2 linked regions of the Oryzias latipes genome follow. The protein of the gene in region 1 purifies or fractionates together with the protein of each later gene. This does not show direct contact. Links are inferred from orthologs where the notes say so. Each region holds a gene or a part of one and is shown in the gene's direction. Other genes may lie near its edges.

Region 1 (3,148 bases):
AGGTTTGATCTTTTAAGTCAAAACCTTAAATAAAAAATGATCTTTATTTGGCTTTTATATTTGAATTGGTGCTTATTAGGTTGCAGTTTAGGTGTATGTGGGTTATTTTAGATTGTGCTAAAACGTATCTCAAAAGGTAAATAGGGCTTTTGCCATTTTTTCAGGGAGTTCAAATCTACAATCCCAAAATCAAGTGCTCCAGAAATTTCCCAGAAGTCTCTGCGAAAACCAGTGTGCATCGATGCTCACTAGATTAGGGAATATAGACCACAATGCATTGAGTTTGAACAATTTGAAAACAATTTAATTACATTTATTGGTTTATAAATTATTGAAGTTTTCATCATCAGAACACTGGATTCATAAATAGTCTCTGTAAAATGTTCATATTTATAGGTTTTTACTTCAGAAAAATGTTGTTGTGTTTTCCCGTTTGAAAAAAAAGTAGTGAGCATGTGTCTGAATTGCTGTAAAATCCAGGGCACTATGTAGTCTCTTAGTAGTTAGGGAGTTGTGAGGAAATTCAAACATAATCTTTGTGGTTTGATGAACCTGCCTGATGCTGCTCCAGAGTGTTTTTTTTTTTTTTTTTTTTTTTTTATACACTGTATTTTATCCCATGAAGGGAAATTCTTTCTCCGCATTTGACCCATCCCCTTGGGGAGCGGTGAGCTGCAGCCGAAACCGCGCTCGGGAGGCAGTAGCGTTAAGGGCCTTGCCTAAGGACCCTCACTGGGTGATGTTAACTGCTCGCCATTGATATGATAATTGCCCCCAGTACCATTGCTCATTCCCCTCCGGGAATCGGACCCTGGTTTCCTGCGTGGTAGCTTCCCACCTTACCAACCGAGCTACCCAGCCGCTAGATTGCCAGTCATTCATCATTCACTGATCATGCAACCTCCAAAAAAAAATACTTTTTTTTTTCTCAGTGTGACAATGCCGGGATTCACAGCATGTAATTATAAAATAACGGTTCAGGAGAGATTAGGGATCATTTCCACACTTCAGTTGGTCACGACAGAGCCCATGACTTAACCTCTTTGAAAATCACTGAGATGTGCTGAAAAGACTTTACTCAGCATTTCACTGTCACGATGAAATATTCCACCCCAAAATTACAGGAAAGACATTTACTAGCATTTTTTAAGTTTACTAAAACAATGTGAATGCTTCGATAACCAGAACCACAGGTAGCCAGGCAGAATTTCAGTATTTCCATTTTCTTTTGGTCAAGCTTTGCAGCTGAAAGACTAGAACTGACTTCCTTGTTTGTCTTTTCATGCCATCTTTAGGCAAGTACTACAACTATGACAGCAGTGGGAGATATCATTCCAACAGTGTCATGTCAGACCAGTGTGCAGGTCATTGGTTCCTTAAAGCATCAGCCTGTGGGGAAGAAGACTATCAGGCAAGTTAAACATAAAAGATACAATCTTTTCCACCTATAAACAAACATGATTGCCTTTTAAGGTCTATGTAAAAAGATGAGGGAATCCTATAGACATTAAAAACTCATCAGAATTTATCTACAACTTGTTCAGATGTGTTTAAGAGTAAACGTTGACCTTGCTTGTCCACACAGGCTTTTCCCAAAGAAAAGATTCAGAGTACACTGAAATCCATCTTTGACTTGAATGTGATGGCTTTTGCTGGGGGCCAAATGGGTGCAGTCAATGGCATGCGCCCTGAAGGAGTGCCTGACCGCTCCAGTGTCCAGTCTGATGAGGTTTGGATCGGTGTTGTGTACGGGCTGGCAGCGACTATGATCCATGAGGTCAGTAAGAGAGACGAAATCTTCATCAGAGGATTTCTTTTATTTATTTGCTCTCTGCATAGACTTCCTACTGAAAGCTCAACCTTGGTTATTTGGACAGATGCCTTCAGTGAAGTGTTCTAGCCACTTGATTATAAGGAAAATTGTAATTAAATTGTAGCTATTTTTTGTTTTTCTCATTTAGGGCATGCGAGAGGAGGGGATGCACACAGCTGAGGGTTGCTACCGGACAGTATGGGAGAGGCTGGGTATGGCCTTCCAGACTCCTGAAGCCTATTGTGAGAAGAACATCTACCGTTCTCTGGCTTACATGAGGCCTCTTAGTATCTGGGCCATGCAGCTTGCTCTAAACATGACACAAAAGGATCAGGCCCCAACAACTGGAGATTCGGATGAGGTTGGAACATGAAATCGGATTATTCTGATGTAGCACAGATGAACCTCTCTTGCAGCCACCTCCTCTCATCTGGACACTGCAACTCCTTGTTTTGACTGGTTATCTAGAACCATGGTGTTTGTATGTGTCATTTTTTAAGGACACTTTTTGAGAAGACTGCACATCCATTTGCACTGTTGGCTGTCAAGCCAGGCATTCAGAAAAAACACTGCATGAATGAAAGGCTAGAAGACCAAGTATTGGCTTCCATTGTATTGTTTTGCCAATTGCATTACCATACCTGCAACATGTTGATATATTATATATTTCTTCTTTTATTTTCAAGTTGCTTAAATAATCAATAATGTGTTGGAAGAATTTTGTACCTTGTTGCATGCAAACCTTTACATAAATAATATAAAATATTTCTGATGATTAAAGTGAATAAATTATGTAAAGGATAATAAAGCATGTTTGTTGTATTGTTTCATACATATTAGTCACTGGGACACCAACTACTGAGCTATTTCTTGTAATTTTTTGTTAGAGGATTGTGATTATTTTGAGTTAAATGATGAATTACTCTTACATTGAGGTGTTTCACTTTCAGATGCAGTGTTACTTCTGGCTTTTTAAAAGAGTTTGTGTTACATGTTACAGTGTTAATGAATAGTCAGTCAAGAATTAATTAACCAATCAGTGAGGAGCATTCATAGCTACCTGCACATGCATCTGGGAGCTGACATTGAAAAAGGCCAGAAAGCGATAAGAGAACGTCCATGTCTGGCGTAAAGTTAAGTTGGACTTCAATAGTTTCATTTTTCACATGTTACTTGAAAATTACAAATGTTTATAAAGTTATGAATTATCATTGGTAGACTCTTAAGCACCAACAAGTTAGCATCGCGCTTCCTTAAAAAGTGTAGTAGTTAATTTTTTCCATTGAAGTTTCTAAATAGGTGCTTTAATCAATTCAGACTATGCAGACTAACAGT
Region 2 (4,028 bases), on another chromosome or scaffold:
ATGGATAAGCTGGATAATCACTAGTGATTATGCACCCAGTATTGATCAATGAATGTAGCCTAAAAACAATTTCAGAACAAATCACAACAATAAAAATAGATACGTTTCCTGTTTTAGATTAACGCACACAGCTCAGTGGAAGACTGACTTCAGATCACTTGCTGTCCCAGGATTTCTTCAAGCCAGGCTCAATGTGGACGGCTCACCAAGAGACACCTTCATCCAAATGACTGTAAATAAAGCTGTCGGATTATTTGTGTGGTCAATTGTGCCTTTTTATGCTAGTTTAGGGATTTTAACAGTGTTTGTTCACAGGGTTGGGGTAAAGGTGTTGTATTCGTTAATGGACAGAATCTCGGCCGTTACTGGTTTATTGGTCCTCAACGTTTCCTTTACCTCCCTGGACACTGGCTCAGGAGCGGAGAGAATCAGGTTACACGATCTATAAAAACTATACTGGTTTTAGTATTGTCTCCCTGTACAATTTGACTTTTAATTGTCTGTTTTTTTGTGTGTTTTTTTTTTTTTTTTGGTTTCAGATTATTCTTTTCGAGGAGCAAAGAACCAATGGGGAAGTAGTTTTTACTGAGAATGCAGATCATGGAAAGACTATCGATGTTTATAAACTGCCCTTCTGCACACTGCTGTAAAAATGTGTTCAAACCACACAGCTTTAAGCTGTTTGTGTGCACATGTAACATTCGGTGGACTTTTTTTTTGCTCTTCTAATTTGCCCAATTGTTTTAGGAATTAACTTTTAAATGTTGCAAAATCACAACTTCTTTCAAAATAATGAGATATTCTAATTTTTGTTAGTTAGTTAGTTAGTTAGTTAGTTAGTTAGTTAGTTAGTTAGTTAGTTAGTTAGTTAGTTAGTTAGTTAGTTAGATAAAGTTACAGGCGTTGCTAGACACCTCAGCTTCCTGTTGGACGAAGCGCCTGTCATCTAAATATGGACCGTGGATGACCACAGCGGAAAACCTGAACATCCTTTCACAATAAACAAATAAAAGTTGAAAAACTGTTTATAGTTGTGAAATTCGTCATTTTAAATGAAAGAAAAATGACATAGTTAACTATAGTTCTGAAAAACAAATACTATTACTTTGTGTTTCTAACTGCACTGCACGCGTATAACGATTTTTTCTGTGAACGTAAGTTTATTTTGAAATTATTTTTTTGGAAAGGGGCTTTGTGCCTGCAGCTAGCTTACCATTCAAAAAGGAAATGACACCCATATAGCTGCCACGGGAGGAGCGAAGGGTCATAGTTTACCCTGTGTCTTTTTACTTAGGAGAATGTCGTATAGAAATTCAATCTCGTAACTAAATACTGAATTTGCATGACAAAAAATCCAGCTATACCTGGAATCAAAAGCGGTTTTGTATCATGTTAGCATAGTCTGACTGACTGAGCAAACCGTTCAGTGCACCGACCGGGGGGGAGAAACTAAGGTTTATCCTTGAGGTAATTCAAAGTTTCTCGGTTTACACCTTTACACTGAGAGGCTTTTGCTTCCCCATCGACACATGGAGTCGCTCGGAGCTGTTGGCGCTGTTCTCGGATGCTCTGCTTGTTGCATCCCGGTGGTCGCGCTGCTGCTCGCCGCCTACAAACTTGGCTTATTTTACCAGCTGTTTCACCAGGTGGGTGTTCGTCTAAAATGAAAACGCATTGTTTTTACTCCACGCGTGATCGCTTTGCGGATCAGATCTGCCAGCTGACCCGGGTAAAAGGGTAAATCGAGCTCCACTGACTGACTCGGGTAAACTTTGACCAGCCTTGTGGTTTTCTCGAACAAAGGCCATCACAGCCAAGCTGTCGGGGAGATTGCACAAAAGCATGGAAGCTGCATGTGTGCACACTGTTGGGAAATGGAATTGGAGAGATAAGCCTCCAGAGAATGATAACTAAAGCATCTTTCTTTGATGCAGAAGTCCTGCTTGCACGACCTCTTTTGGGTCAAATTGCATTTATTAAAAAATAAATAAAAAACACAGATTTGTGGGATAAATGTCCTAATCTCTTCCAATCACAGCTTGCTCTGCCACCGACTTGTGATTAAGGAATCAGACCATGTTGGCAATCTAACCACATTCAGCACCTGCAGAAGGACGTGAAGAACCGGACCCAGTGCTCCTCACGCCGGTCCCTGGCTCCGTCGCACGCCGCTGCGGGACGCCAGTCCATCCTCCAACAAGCTTTTGCTGCAAGTCGGCCAATGTGGTTAGGCTGGTCTGGTGGCACAAACACGCCAAATCGGATACCTCAAGTGATCTGTCACCTCTTGCCAAACAGGAGTTCATGTTTTACTTCGAAGCCCATCGAGACGACTGTTGTTGTGATTTTGGGCTATACAAATAAAATTGAATTGAATTGAAACACTTGAGGGAAACTCAAAATAAGTCAATAATAACAACAACAACAATAAAATACAGTTGGACTTTGGCTGAAAGATTTAGGCAAATCTTTCATGGGTGCCTGATCGGCTCTGCTGCTCCTCCGACAAATCCATCCCCCAACAGATGTGGCGAAAAGAGGCTACACACTGCAACACAACACTACTGAACACATAGTTTCCTAGTTTATAGACAGCTGAAGTATTTGAAGAGAAACACTTACCTGACAAGCACAGCGTTTGGTTAAATAGCGGTTCTTTTCTAACATGTTCTTGTGGCATATTTCTGATCATGGAAGAAAATTGAGCTTAAATTTGCGTGTTTGTTTGTTTGTTTGTTTGTTTGTTTGTTGTGAATCGGGAGCAGACAAAAAAAAGCTCAACTTTTCAAGAAAGGGGGGAAAAAAGGGTTAATTTCTTATAAACACCTGTCGCTCTGCAGAAATTAGGTCCAAGTTTTACAATTTATCCTAAAACAAACAGCATAATTGTTCAAAGGCTGCATGGAATGCTTTAAAAAGAATGAAAAGATGATTGGAGTGGAACTTTAAACCTGTACAGACATTAAAAACGGTTGGAAAATTGATATATTTTTTAAACACTTTTCCCCCTTGTTCTCTTTATCTCATTGCAGACGGAGACCGAGAGCCCCCGCCATGGCGGTGAGAGCGTGGCAGAGGTCCTCCGTGCTCACGGGGTCAAGTTCCTCTTCACCCTGGTGGGCGGGCACATTTCCCCGATCCTCGTGGCTTGCGAGAAGGTCGGCATCCGTATCGTGGACACCAGACACGAAGCCACGGCGGTCTTTGCCGCAGACGCCGTGGCGCGGCTCTCAGGTGCAGGCTGACGTTTTACCCCGGGGCTTCAAATCCCAGCCGAACTTTCCACATTTCTTACATTTTGTTTTGTTTTTTTCCCTCTGGAGTTCAACGTGGTTGTGTGGCTCTCTGTACCAGGTACTGTGGGGGTAGCAACTGTAACCGCCGGCCCGGGCCTGACGAACACGGTGACGGCGGTAAAGAACGCCCAAATGGCTGAATCTCCTGTGCTGCTCTTGGGAGGAGGTGCTGCTACACTACTGCAGGTAGGTGAACGCAGATGGAAATGGGATGCGAACTCTCTGGTAGGTGCTACGCACATTTAAATGATCAATCCTTTGCACGGCAGGGAAGGGGGGCACTGCAAGACATCGACCAGATGTCTCTCTTCAAGCCGCTGTGTAAATTCTGTGCCTCCATCAGGACGGTGAGGGAAATAGTGCCGACTCTCAGAAAAGCCCTGGCCATTGCCCAGTCAGGAACGCCCGGCCCCGTTTTTGTAGAGTTCCCCATCGACACCCTGTACCCCTATCACCTTGTGTCCAAAGAGTTTGCACCGAAAACCCCCCCTAAAGGCCTGATGGGAAGTATCATTTCATGGTATGTTATTAGAGTGCAGTTCTGTTGTCATGAAATAACAATCATTGTCTGTCAAACTGATGTATAGTTGTCGTTTTTTGTTTTATTTTAATGTTTTCTGGTCTGATCACCTGCAAGGTATCTCCGAAATCACCTGAAGAACCTCTTTGCTGGAGCCTGGGAGGCCAGAGATGTCTGTCCTCTTTCTGTCCACGTCCCTCAAGCCACAGAGG

What was found. Proteins that work in one complex are often made in the same cells at the same time.
Region 2: the proteins of gba2 (region 1) and ilvbl purify together in Homo sapiens (co-immunoprecipitation; 3 studies listed by BioGRID and IntAct, counting the BioPlex papers as one, with this or other methods). This does not show direct contact. The link is inferred for Oryzias latipes from reciprocal best matches to the Homo sapiens genes GBA2 and HACL2.

The regions. Positions count from the first base shown.
Region 1 is NC_019876.2:18,564,307-18,567,454, forward strand, and holds the end of gba2 (non-lysosomal glucosylceramidase), read left to right. Parts: intron 1-1,295; coding exon 1,296-1,411; intron 1,412-1,585; coding exon 1,586-1,777; intron 1,778-1,961; coding exon 1,962-2,186; 3' UTR 2,187-2,645; downstream 2,646-3,148. UniProt on the Homo sapiens protein: Non-lysosomal glucosylceramidase that catalyzes the hydrolysis of glucosylceramides/GlcCers (such as beta-D-glucosyl-(1<->1')-N-acylsphing-4-enine) to free glucose and ceramides (such as N-acylsphing-4-enine).
Region 2 is NC_019871.2:28,730,219-28,734,246, forward strand, and holds the start of ilvbl (acetolactate synthase-like protein), read left to right. Parts: upstream 1-1,213; 5' UTR 1,214-1,529; coding exon 1,530-1,646; intron 1,647-3,032; coding exon 3,033-3,234; intron 3,235-3,354; coding exon 3,355-3,482; intron 3,483-3,565; coding exon 3,566-3,816; intron 3,817-3,933; coding exon 3,934-4,028. Other genes in the region: beta-galactosidase-1-like protein 2, read left to right, coding at 118-232, 316-432, 540-650. UniProt on the Homo sapiens protein: Endoplasmic reticulum 2-OH acyl-CoA lyase involved in the cleavage (C1 removal) reaction in the fatty acid alpha-oxydation in a thiamine pyrophosphate (TPP)-dependent manner. Involved in the phytosphingosine degradation pathway.